3 linked regions of the Oryctolagus cuniculus genome follow. The protein of the gene in region 1 interacts with the protein of each later gene in a biochemical or structural test. Links are inferred from orthologs where the notes say so. Each region holds a gene or a part of one and is shown in the gene's direction. Other genes may lie near its edges.

Region 1 (3,919 bases):
GATGACCAGTTTATGTGTTATTCATTTCCTAATTTGGAATTTTTAATATTACTCATCTAAATATTTATGTTAGCTGGATTAGAGTATAAAGAACTTAATTTTTTTTTTCTTTTTTCTAGTGAAGAACAGTCTAGACTAGCAGCAAGAAAATATGCCAGAGTTGTGCAGAAGCTGGGTTTTCCAGCTAAGTTCTTGGACTTCAAGATTCAGAACATGGTGGGGAGCTGTGACGTGAAGTTCCCCATACGGCTGGAAGGCCTGGTGCTCACCCACCAGCAGTTCAGCAGGTGAGCGGGGATGTACTCTGCTTGGGCTGGGACACATTTGTAATCTCCTTAGTGTGTTTCAGGATAAAACACAAGCCAGCTATGTAGGGAGTAAGAGCCGGTGAGGCATGCAGAGTTGTGATGCTGTCTCCCTATCAGCCTCCTCCTGCCACATCGGTAGCCATACCCCAAACTCCTCTGCACTGGAATGAACTTGTTTCCACTTCTGGGTTTTACCATTTTATGGCTCAGCAAATGCTTGAGTTGAATCGACAGCTTCTTGCATTAGTTTTTCCCAGTTTGAATCTTTCCTTTTAGTCAACATTATATCAGCTCTGCTGACAAAATGTGAAGTGGGTGATGGGAACATTCTTTCCATTTATTTGGGAGACTCGAGGCAGGTAGTCCTTCCCACCTTGCAGCTTCTTCTCAGCGTCACGTGGTTCTCTGTGTCCCTCGACTCACCATGCTGTGCTGCAGGCTCATTGACCAGCATCAGCGTTCTAGGAGATGTCCACTTGAGTTCAGATACCCACCCTTGCTGCCCTTCCTCAGAGAGGCCACTCACAGACACAGGGACACCTGGTTTTCAGAACCTCTGAACTAGAAAAATGAGATTATGAAGTTAGAATAGGAGGTAGCAACAGTCCATTCGATCAGACCATGTAACTGGAGTATAGTATCTGGTGTGTCACATAAATTACTTGGCCAGAATTGACAGCTAGAGGATATTCCATTTAAGGAAGTGAGATAAGATTGAAAGCAAAACTGTCTATATCAAAACAACTAGGCAAGTGTGTAAAGGTTCCCAACACATAGACATGATAAGTGAGGAGATGGAAATGCTAATTACCCTGTTTGATCATACACCTTGTGCAGCTGTATCAGATTTTCTTACTGTACTCATAAATATGGACAAATATTCAATTAAAAGTAAATTTAGAAGTAGGCAAATTGTCAATGTTGTATTTTAGAAATAAAAGATTTGGGGCTGGTGTTGTGGTGTGTGTAGTGGGTAAAACTGCTCCATATCGGCGCCAGTTTGAGACTCAGGTGCTCCATTTCTGATCCAGCTCCCTGAGAATGCACCTGGGAAAGCAGTGGAAGATGGCCCAAGTGCTTGGACCCCTGACACACCCATGTGGGAGACCAGGATGAAGCTCCTAGCTTTGGCCTGGCCAAAGATCTCTCATTCTGAACTCTGCCTTTCAAATAAATAAATCAATCTTTAAAAAAGAAATAAATGATTTTACGTAGATTTATCTAAACTCAGGCAGAATCACTCTTTGTAAGAACTGCATTCTACAGAACAAATGCACAGCTCCTCTTCTCAGCAAGAGGAGCTGGTGAAGTGACAGGGCAGCCAGCCACTGGCTGGTCCAGGTGTGGATGCAGCTCCGGCTCGCTTGCTGTAAGTGCTCTCTTCCTGGATGTGTTGTGCAGTGAGTGGGCTTGTTGAGGTATTAAACCCTCAAGCATGGGAAACTTCATTTCTAATCTGTTTTTGCCGTTTTCCTTCTAGTTATGAGCCAGAGTTATTTCCTGGTTTAATCTACAGAATGATCAAACCCAGAATCGTTCTCCTTATTTTTGTTTCTGGGAAAGTTGTATTAACAGGTAAGTTCAAATGGGAATTAGCACCTGAAAGTTTGAATGAATTTAAAGGTGGGCATTTTCTCAGAGCTGAAAGGAATTTCACAGCATTGAATAGTTGGCTACCAACCTTTATCTTCTTTCCCCTACTCTTACTCTATGAGAAAAGTACCTACTGCTGGGAAGAAATCAGAGCAGGGGGATGTGACAAAGCCCTGCTGGGCCTTCAGTCAAAGCATGACCTCCATTTATACTGGGGAGGGGAAATGAGCCTGGCATTGGGTAAGAGCAGGTATCTTCCATGGGTTTGTCAGCAGTGTCATGAGAACAAAGGGAGATTCAGAAGCACTGACTTGAAGGCAGTAGTTGGGACGTTAAGATCCAGTCACTCTCGCTGCTGCCCTGCCAGGTTACTCTGATTGTGTAGCAATGAGCTGTAGAGTGGGAGGCTGGAGTCCCCATAAGCATTGCTGTTGTAATGTAGAAAATCATTTTAAGAAAATACTTTAGAGGGGCTGGAATTGGGATGTAGCTGGTAAAGCCGCTGCCTACAGTGCTAGCGTCCCTTTTGGGTGCGGGTTTGAGTCCTAGCTGCTCCACTTCAGATCCAGCTCTCTGCTATGGCCTGGAAAAGCTGTAGAAAATGGCCCAAGGCTGGCGCCGCGGCTCACTAGGCTAATCCTCTGCCTTGCGGCACCGGCACACCGGGTTCTAGTCCCGGTTGGGGCGCCGGATTCTGTCCCGGTTGCCCCTCTTCCAGGCCAGCTCTCTGCTATGGCCCGGGAGTGCAGTGGAGGATGGCCCAAGTGCTTGGGCCGTGCACCCCATGGGAGACCAGGAGAGGTACCTGGCTCCTGTCTTCGGATCAGCATGGTGCGCCAGCCACAGCGTGCCGGCCGTGGCGGCCATTGGAGGGTGAACCAACGGCAAAGGAAGACCTTTCTCTCTCTCTCTCACTGTCCACCCTGCCTGTAAAAAAAAAAGAAAGAAAAAAAACTATGAAAAAAAGAAAATGGCCCACGCCCTTGGGCCCCTGCACCCACATGGGAGACCTGGAAGAAGCTCCTGGCTCCTGGCTTCGGATTGGCCCAGATCCAGCCATTGCAGCCATCTGAGGAGTGATTGGGGTATGATAAGGGATGCCACCATTAAAGTTTCAATGCCTATAATTGTAAAACTGAGTATGGAGAAAATTGTGCTTGCAGTTTTGTTTTAAGATAATAATTTTACCACCTTAAGATGTTGAGAAATGCGTTTTCACACTCTTGCCTTTGTAGGTGCTAAAGTCAGAGCAGAAATCTATGAAGCATTTGAAAACATCTACCCTATTCTAAAGGGATTCCGGAAGACGACGTAATAGCTGTCATGTACTTCTGCCTCCCCTACCCACATGTTTTTTAAAGAAATCAGTTTGGTACCTTTCAATGGTGGTGTTGAGAAGATGGAGGTTCAGTTGCAGGTCACGGCACCAGGCGATGCTCTTTCGAGTGTGTCCCGCCAGGGGCCCTGGGAGGGCATTGTTTCTGCACTGAGAACACCACGCAGCATTACTGTGAGTTGCTCCTACTGTGCTGCTATCCGGGCAGTGCTGCCCGTTTATTTATATTTAGGTTTTAAACACTGCTGTTGACAAGTTGGTTTAAGAGACAAAACTTTTAAGTGTTAAAGCCACCTGTATAATTGATTGGACTTTTTATTTTGTTTAATTTTTCCCCATAAACCAGTTTTTATATTTCTACCAGGAAAGTAAAAATCTTTTTTAAAAGTGTTGTTTTTCTAATTTGTAACTCCTAGGGGTTATTTTTGTGCCAGACACATTCCGCCTTTCCAGTATTGCAGGACAGAATGAATAGATATATTAATGAAAACAAATGGCTGTACATATTGTTCTTTCTTCAGAGTACTCTGTACAATAAATGCAGTTTATAAAAGTGTCCGATTGTTGTTCTGAACGACACCTTGTAAGTCATGTGATCATACTGTTTAAAAAAGTTGTATTTTAGATACAATGCTTGAAACTATTCTGGTGTGTGTCTGTCAGTATTTTGTTTATGTTGCAA
Region 2 (3,819 bases), on another chromosome or scaffold:
TTATATAAACAAAAGTTAAAAACAATAATAAAGCTTTGATTTGAGATTCTAGTAAGTACCTTGATTTGTCTACTGGTGGATTTTTTGTCTTTTCAGTTTCCTGGATCTATTATAAGTTGTTTGCCATAGGCGATGCACAGTGGAAAAGGAGGATTACCATCCCATGTGAAAATTGTTGATTAGTAGTTAGCTTTGTAGTGTCAGGTGTTGTCTTGTATCATCCCTCATTATTTTTAAGATTTTATTTATTTGAGAGTTAGAGGGAGAGACAGAGATAGGTCTTCTAACTGCTGGTTCATTTCTCAAATGGCTGCAACCACTATCTCTGGACCGATCCAAGGCCGTGAGATTCTTCTAGGTCTCCCACCTGGGTGCAGGAGCTCAAGCACTTGGGCCATCTTCCACTGCAGCAGAGAACTGGGTCGGAGGAGGGGCAGCCGGGACATGAACGGGTGGCCATATGTGATATCTGCTCCGCAGACAGAGGCTCAGCTTGCTAGCCACAGCGCCAGCCCTTCCCTCTTTTTTTTTTTTTTTAAAACGATTTATGTAGTTGAAAGGTTGAGCAGCAGAGGCTGGGTGGGGTGGATGGTGGGGAGAGATCTTTCATCCATTGGTTCATTCCTGAAATGTCTTCTGTGGCCAGGCTGAAGCCAGGAGGCAGGAATTCCATCCTGGTATCCCAGATGGGTAGCAGGGACCCAAGCACTTGGGCCATTTTCCACTGCCTTCCCAGACATTATTAGCAGGGAGCTAAACTAAAAGTAGAGTGGCTGGTACTCAAATCAGCAATCCAGAATGGGGTGCTTATATCATATGTGGTGTACGCCCAGTTTGGTATTTCTTGCTATATTGGTATAGTAACATGACTTGGGAAATTATAGTTCTTTATTATTAACCATAGTAAAATTGCTTATCAGTCTAGATTTGGAATCCTCTTCCATCACAAATATCATCTTAAAAAAAATCACATCGGTTGGTCAGACATGTTTGTGAAACAAGTACTAGGGATAGAGGTATCTGGCACAGTGGTTAAGACGCTGCTTGGGACATCCATGTTAGAATGCCTGGGTTTGAGTCCCAACTCTGCTGTCTATTCCAGCTTCCTGCTAATGCATACCTTGGAAGGCAGCAGGTAAGGGGAATAACAACTGAGAAAGTTAAGAAAAAAAAAAAAAAAGAAAACCTCACAGTGAAGGTTACTTTTTTTTTTTTTTTTTTACTACATGATCTGTGCTTTGCCGCATTTACAACAGAAGAGCAGCAGATAGCAGTTGAATCATGGTGTGTGAACATTACTTGAATCAGTGAAATTTCCGTCAGATTTCCTATTTATGCCTGTAGAGCTTGATTGCTCCCCTAAGTTAACTGACACTGTAAGGGGAAGTTGGGGGATATAATTTGGAAGGGAATTGCTGACATTCTCGTTCCCCTGTGTTCCCATTTGTGAGGTGTATGGTTTACCAGTTATAAAAGCTCTCCTCCATTTTGCAGAAAAAAAGAGGTGATCTTAGCAGCATGAACATAGTCCTACTTGTGTGCTGCTACTGCTTGCTGCTAATAGACTTCTAATGAAACTGCTAGCATGAACTCAGTAATGACCTGTTAACCATAAGCATTAGTACTTTGTGAAGTTAAAACATTTATTTCTTAATATCTTGATTTTTTTTTTTTGTAACTTTAGGGTTTTGTGGAATGCTGGTTGAGAAGCCCTATTACAAGCCATTATGCTCGCAGGCACCGCTGCTCACTAGGCTAATCCTCCACCTTGTGGCGCCGGCACACCGGGTTCTAGTCCCGGTTGGGGCGCCGGATTCTGTCCTGGTTGCCCCTCTTCCAGACCAGCTCTCTGCTGTGGCCAGGGAGTGCAGTGGAGGATGGCCCAAGTCCTTGTGCCCTGCACCCCATGGGAGACCAGGATACGCACCTGGCTCCTGCCATCGGATCAGTGCGGTGCGCCGGCTGCAGCATGCCAGCCGCACGGCTATTGGAGGGTGAACCAATGGAAAAAGGAAGACCTTTCTCTCTCTCTCTCTCTCTCTCACTGTCCACTCTGCCTGTCAAAAAATAAAGAAAAAAAAAAAAAAGGCAAGCCATTATGAAAACGTATGCTACGGCCAGTGAAGTAGCAATGCTTTTTTTTTTTTTTAAATTGGCGCCGTGGCGTAGTGGGTAAAGCCGCCACCTGCCGTGCCGGCATGGTTCAAGACCCGGCTGCTCCACTTCTGATCTTGCTCTCTGCTATGGCCTGGGAAAGCAGTAGAAGATGGCCCAGGTCCTTGGGCCTCTGCACCGGTGTGGGAAACCTGGAGGAAGTTCCTGGCTTTGGATTGGCACAGCTCTGGCCATTGCAACCAATTGTGGAGTGAACCAGTGGATGCAAGACCACTCTCTGTCTCTCCTTCTCTGTGTAACTCTGCCTTTCAAATAAATACATAAATCTTTTTAAAAAAAATTAGCACATAGAGAACATAGCATTAAACATCTGAACAGTAGCATGTAGGATGCAGTTTACTTAGTGAATTGTCTGTTAATGGCCACTAGGGTTATTTCTAATATACATATATATTTAAAGATTTATTTATTTATTTGAAAGTCAGGGTTAAACACAGAAGGAGAGGCAGAGTGAGAGAAAGGTATTCCATCCACTGGTTCACTCCCCAATTGGCCGCAATGGCCGGAGCTTCCTCCGGGTCTCCCATGTGAGTGCAGGGGCTCAAGGACTTGGGCCACCTTCTACTGCTATCCCAGTCCATAGCAGAGAGCCGGATTGGAAGTGGAGCAGACAGGTTTCAAACCCGTGCCCATGTGGGATGCCGGCACTGCAGGTGGTGGCTTAACCCACTACACCACAGCGCTGGCCCCTCTAGTATTTTTCTTGTACAAACAATATTGCAATGACTTTTAATCACTTTTTTTGTGCTGTGCTGGCATGTTTATAGGGTAAATTCCTAGAAATAAGATTGCTATGTCAAAGGATTTAGTTAATTCACACTGCCAAACTGCTCTCTAGGGTTGTACCAGTTTATACTGTTATCAGTAGTCTTTGAGAAAGGCATTTTCCTCTAGCTTCACTAATAAAATTGGCAGACATTTGGAATTGTTCAGCTCGAATAAGTGAGAAATATCTTGGCAAAAATTGAGTGTCTTTTCATATGTTTAAGATCGTTTGTATTTCTTTTTCTGTCATCTGAGGATTCGTCTCTTTGGGTATTTCCTTGTTAGGTGTTTGGAGCTCTTAAATATTAAGATTAGCTCTTTGTGATGTGAGTTGCAAATGCTTTTTTCTTGTTATATGATTTTTTTATTCTATCTGATTTCATCATCAGTGCTTTTAATTAGTATAATTTTACTGCCTCAAATAATACATGTTCTATATTCCTGAAAGGATTTATTTATGGGTAGCTTTGATTTAGTGTATCTAGCATTTTAAAACACTGACAATGATTTCTTCCCTCAATAGACACGACATCAGCGAGGAGACACACATCCTCTAACTTTAGAAGAAATTTTGGATGAAACCCAGCATTTAGATATTGGACTCAAGCAGAAACAGTGGTTAATGACTGAGGTAAGAAAAGGCTTAAAATATAATAAAAATAATTGGTTAATAACCAGGAGATATTTTCTTTATAATTTTTTTAAATAATATTGAAATCTGTGCTTTTTTTTTTTTTTTTTAAGTTTTATTTATTTAAAAGGCGGAGTTAGGGAGAGACAGATTTTCCATCTGTTGGTTCACTCCTCTGATGGCCGCAATGGCTGGAGCTTGCATAATCCGAAGCCAGGAGACGAGAGCTTTTTCCTGGTTTCCCGCAT
Region 3 (3,679 bases), on another chromosome or scaffold:
GGCCCCAGTGGCTGGGGCTGGGCCAGGCCAAAGCCAGGAGCCAAGAACACCATCTCTGCCACCTGGGTGGCAGAGACCCAAGTCCTTGGGTCCTCTGCTGCCTTCCCAGGAGCATTTGCGGGCAGCTGGATCAGAGGTGGAGCAGCCGGGACTGGAACTGGAGCGTGTGTGTGGCCACAGGGCTGGGCCCCGCCTCCCTGGGGCCTCTGCGGTGACACAGGCCACAGATGCATCTGCAGGTGTCCCCGGCGCCCCCTACTCCATTTCCTGTCCCTGGATCTGACTGCCCCAGGGACCTCCCAGGAGTGCAGTCGGGGAGGTTTGACCTCGTGTCTCCCACTGCGCCCGTTTCAAGGTCCACCCACATGGTAGTGAGTGTCACGGCTTCTCTCTCACCCTGAACGAGTGCCCAAAGACGCAGGGCGGGGAAAGCACCCGCAGCCCCTGTGGGAGCGCCTGGCTCTGAGCCCTGGCCCTGGCTCCCGATGCCGGCTTCCGGCCAATGCACGCCCTGGGGAGCAGCGGCGAGGGCTTAGCAGGCTGGGAGCCACGTGGGAGACCTGCATTGAGTCCTGGGCTGCTGGCTTTGGCCGGGCTTCTTGCAGGCACCTGGGGAGTGACCCAGCGGGTGGCAGCTGTCTCGGCCTCTGAAATAAAGGGAAAGCTTTTTGTTAAAGGCTCCCGTTCATGATATACAAAGACAGACTGGGGGGGGGGGGGGGGCGCTGTGAGTGGACGCTGGGCTGGAGAGGGCTTCAGGGGTAAGGCAGCTCTCCCAGGCGGGGTCAGGGCGCCCCGAGTCCCTGGGGGCGCCCTCGTCACCCAGCAGCCCCTCTGCCCGCAGGAGGAACAAGGTGCTGAACCACTTCAGCATCATGCAGCAGCGGCGGCTCAAGGACCAGGACCAGGACGAGGGCGAGGGCGAGAAGGAGAAAGGCGGCCACAAGAAGGCCAGCGAGCTGCGCATCCACGACCTGGAGGACGACCTGGAGATGTCGTCGGACGACAGCGAGGCCAGCGGCGAGGAGGGTGCGGCTGGGGCGAGGGCTGAGTGGGTGCGGGCGCCCCCAGGAGAGCTTAGCGGTAGCTGGCTGTTGGCCCAGCCAGGGGCAGAACGCGTCCTCCTCCCAGGCTGGACCAGGCTGCAGCCAGGAACCTACCCAGTCACTTAGCAGGCAGTGAGGGCAGGGGCCGGAGCCCGGACTTGAGGCCAGGCAAGCGGACGTGAGATGCGGGCACTCTGGGCCCCGTGGCCGCCCCGGGGTTGGCCAGTTTGAATGAGCCTGGTGGACACCGGGCTCTGGGGGCCGTCCTACTCGTCAGCACGTGGGCCTGGTGCGTGTGCGGGTGTGTGCATCACAGGAAGGGGGCTTGGGTTGTGGGCCCGGCCTGGGCGGTCGCCAGGAGGCGGTGCGCTCCTAGCAGGCCCTCGTCGTCTGGAGGGTGGGTGCAGTGGCCCCCGTCAGCGCATCGTCAACCAGGAAGCCCAGGACGGCCCGTGGCCTGAGCCCTTCCTCCCCCGCCCCCGCCCCCGCAGGCAGCAGAGCCCCCAAGGCCAAGAAGAAGGGGCCGCTGACCAAGGCGGGCAGGAAGAAGAAGAAGAAGAAGGGCTCCGATGACGAGGCCTTCGAGGACAGCGACGACGGGGACTTCGAGGGCCAGGAGGTGGACTACATGTCCGACGGCTCCAGGTGAGCAGGGGAGGCCGGTGACCCCCGCAAGCCCCCACGCCGCTCGCAGACCCGCCCACTCACCCCTGCCGCCGTGTCTTGCAGCAGCTCCCAGGACGAGGCTGAGGGCAAGCCCAAAGTGCCGCAGCCGGAGGAGGGGCCCAAGGGTAGGCGGCGCCCGGGGTGGGGGCGGGAGGGGGGGCGCGCTGGGCGGCCCCCTGCTCACAGCCACCCCTCCCCCAGGGGTCGACGAGCAGAGCGAGAGCAGTGAGGAGAGTGAGGAGGAGAAGCCGCCCGAGGAGGACAGGGAGGAGGAGGAAGAGAAGAAAGCCCCCACCCCACAGGAGAAGAAGCGCCGGAAAGGTGGGGCCCTCCCAGGCCTCCCCCGTGCGCGGTGGGCGGGCGGGCGGCGCGAGCAGGGGTCTCGGGTGCACGAAAGGTGGGGCCCCTCGCAGGCCGCCCCCGTGGGCTGTGGGGCGGGCGCCCGCAGGGGTCTCGCGTGTAGGACAGGTGGGGGCCATCCCAGGCCTCCCCCGTGCGCGGTGGGCGGGCGCGCAGGGGTCCCGCGCCGCTCTGGGCCTGACTCCCGACCACCGGCCCTGCAGACAGCAGCGACGAGTCGGACAGCTCCGAGGACAGCGACATCGACAGCGAGGCCTCCTCTGCCCTCTTCATGGCTGTAAGACGCAGGCGTGGCGGGGGCCGGGGTGGGCCGGGGCTGGGGCGTCTGTGAGCGTTCTCACACCCTGCCCCCGCCCCCGCAGAAGAAGAAGACCCCCCCCAAGAGGGAGCGGAAGCCGTCGGGAGGCAGCTCACGCGGCAACAGCCGCCCCGGCACGCCCAGCACGGAGGGCGGCGGCGCCTCGTCCACGCTGCGGGCGGCGGCCAGCAAGCTGGAGCAAGGTGGGTACCGGGCCGCTCTGCCCGGCCCTGGGTCAGAACCTGCCCTCTCTGGGCCCGGGCCCCACCCGCCCGAGGCTCAGCCCCGACCCCATCCCATCCCACAGGGAAGCGGCCGAGTGAGACGCCGGCGGCCAAGCGCTTGCGGCTCGACGCGGGGCCCCAGAACCTGTCTGGAAAGTCGACCCCCCAGCCGTCCTCGGGGAAGTCCACGCCCAGCGGCGGGTACGTGGGCGAGCGGGGCGGGGGCGGGCAGGGGCGGGGGGCGGTGCGGGGCCGCGGGGACCCGCTCACAGGCGCCCGCCCGCCGCCCCGCAGGGACGTGCAGGTGACGGAGGACGCCGTGCGCCGCTACCTGACGCGGAAGCCCATGACCACCAAGGACCTGCTGAAGAAGTTCCAGACCAAGAAGACGGGGCTGAGCAGCGAGCAGACGGTGAACGTGCTGGCCCAGATCCTGAAGCGGCTCAACCCCGAGCGCAAGCTCATCAGCGACAAGATGCACTTCTCCCTCAAGGAGTGAGGCCGCAATAAACGCGCGCTGGCCTGGCGTGTCGTGTCGTGTCGTGTCGTGTCGTCCCGCTGTGCCGGGGACAGCCTCCGTGCTGGGAGCCAGCCCATCTCCACCCGCGCACCACCCCCATGACCCCTGAGCGCGTCCTTAGTGGAGCGAGTGGTGCTGACTCGGCGCTCTGTCGGCTGCTGTCTGTGCGGTCCGTCTCCCATGCTGCCCCGCGGGCGGGTGTGGGCACCTGCGCAATCTGAATGAAGTTCACAGGCGGGCAGACGGCCTTCGGGACTGTTGATTTATAATGAGATTTGTTTATTTGAAAGGCAGAGTTAGAGCTGCCGTCCGCTCGTTCGTCCCCCAAATGGCTGCAATGGCCGGGAGCCAGGAACGCCACCCGGGTCTCCCACATGGGTGGGGACCCCACGTCCTCAGACCATCTGCTGCCTCCCCAGGCAGAGCGGTTGGGATGCCGGCGCCCTGGCCACGCGGCCCCTGTGACGGGGCCTGGACAGGGCGCCAGGGTCGTCGGGGATGGCCTTGGCTCCCCGCAGCTGCCCAGGGAGCGCCGTCGCCGGACCCCTACCCCCTCTCGCTGCTG

What was found.
Region 2: the proteins of TBP (region 1) and GTF2E2 form a complex in vitro, tested with the Homo sapiens proteins (2 studies listed by BioGRID). The link is inferred for Oryctolagus cuniculus from reciprocal best matches to the Homo sapiens genes TBP and GTF2E2.
Region 3: the proteins of TBP (region 1) and GTF2F1 form a complex in vitro, tested with the Homo sapiens proteins (3 studies listed by BioGRID, with this or other methods). The link is inferred for Oryctolagus cuniculus from reciprocal best matches to the Homo sapiens genes TBP and GTF2F1.

What each region holds. Positions count from the first base shown.
Region 1 is NC_091436.1:36,990-40,908, reverse strand, and holds the end of TBP (TATA-box-binding protein), read left to right. Parts: intron 1-119; coding exon 120-287; intron 288-1,788; coding exon 1,789-1,883; intron 1,884-3,136; coding exon 3,137-3,216; 3' UTR 3,217-3,793; downstream 3,794-3,919. UniProt on the Homo sapiens protein: The TFIID basal transcription factor complex plays a major role in the initiation of RNA polymerase II (Pol II)-dependent transcription.
Region 2 is NC_091433.1:80,641,652-80,645,470, reverse strand, and holds part of GTF2E2 (transcription initiation factor IIE subunit beta), read left to right. Parts: intron 1-3,463; coding exon 3,464-3,571; intron 3,572-3,819. UniProt on the Homo sapiens protein: Recruits TFIIH to the initiation complex and stimulates the RNA polymerase II C-terminal domain kinase and DNA-dependent ATPase activities of TFIIH. Both TFIIH and TFIIE are required for promoter clearance by RNA polymerase.
Region 3 is NC_091447.1:60,703,080-60,706,758, reverse strand, and holds the end of GTF2F1 (general transcription factor IIF subunit 1), read left to right. Parts: intron 1-844; coding exon 845-1,029; intron 1,030-1,537; coding exon 1,538-1,691; intron 1,692-1,775; coding exon 1,776-1,837; intron 1,838-1,913; coding exon 1,914-2,033; intron 2,034-2,275; coding exon 2,276-2,349; intron 2,350-2,434; coding exon 2,435-2,573; intron 2,574-2,677; coding exon 2,678-2,795; intron 2,796-2,888; coding exon 2,889-3,093; 3' UTR 3,094-3,120; downstream 3,121-3,679. UniProt on the Homo sapiens protein: TFIIF is a general transcription initiation factor that binds to RNA polymerase II and helps to recruit it to the initiation complex in collaboration with TFIIB. It promotes transcription elongation.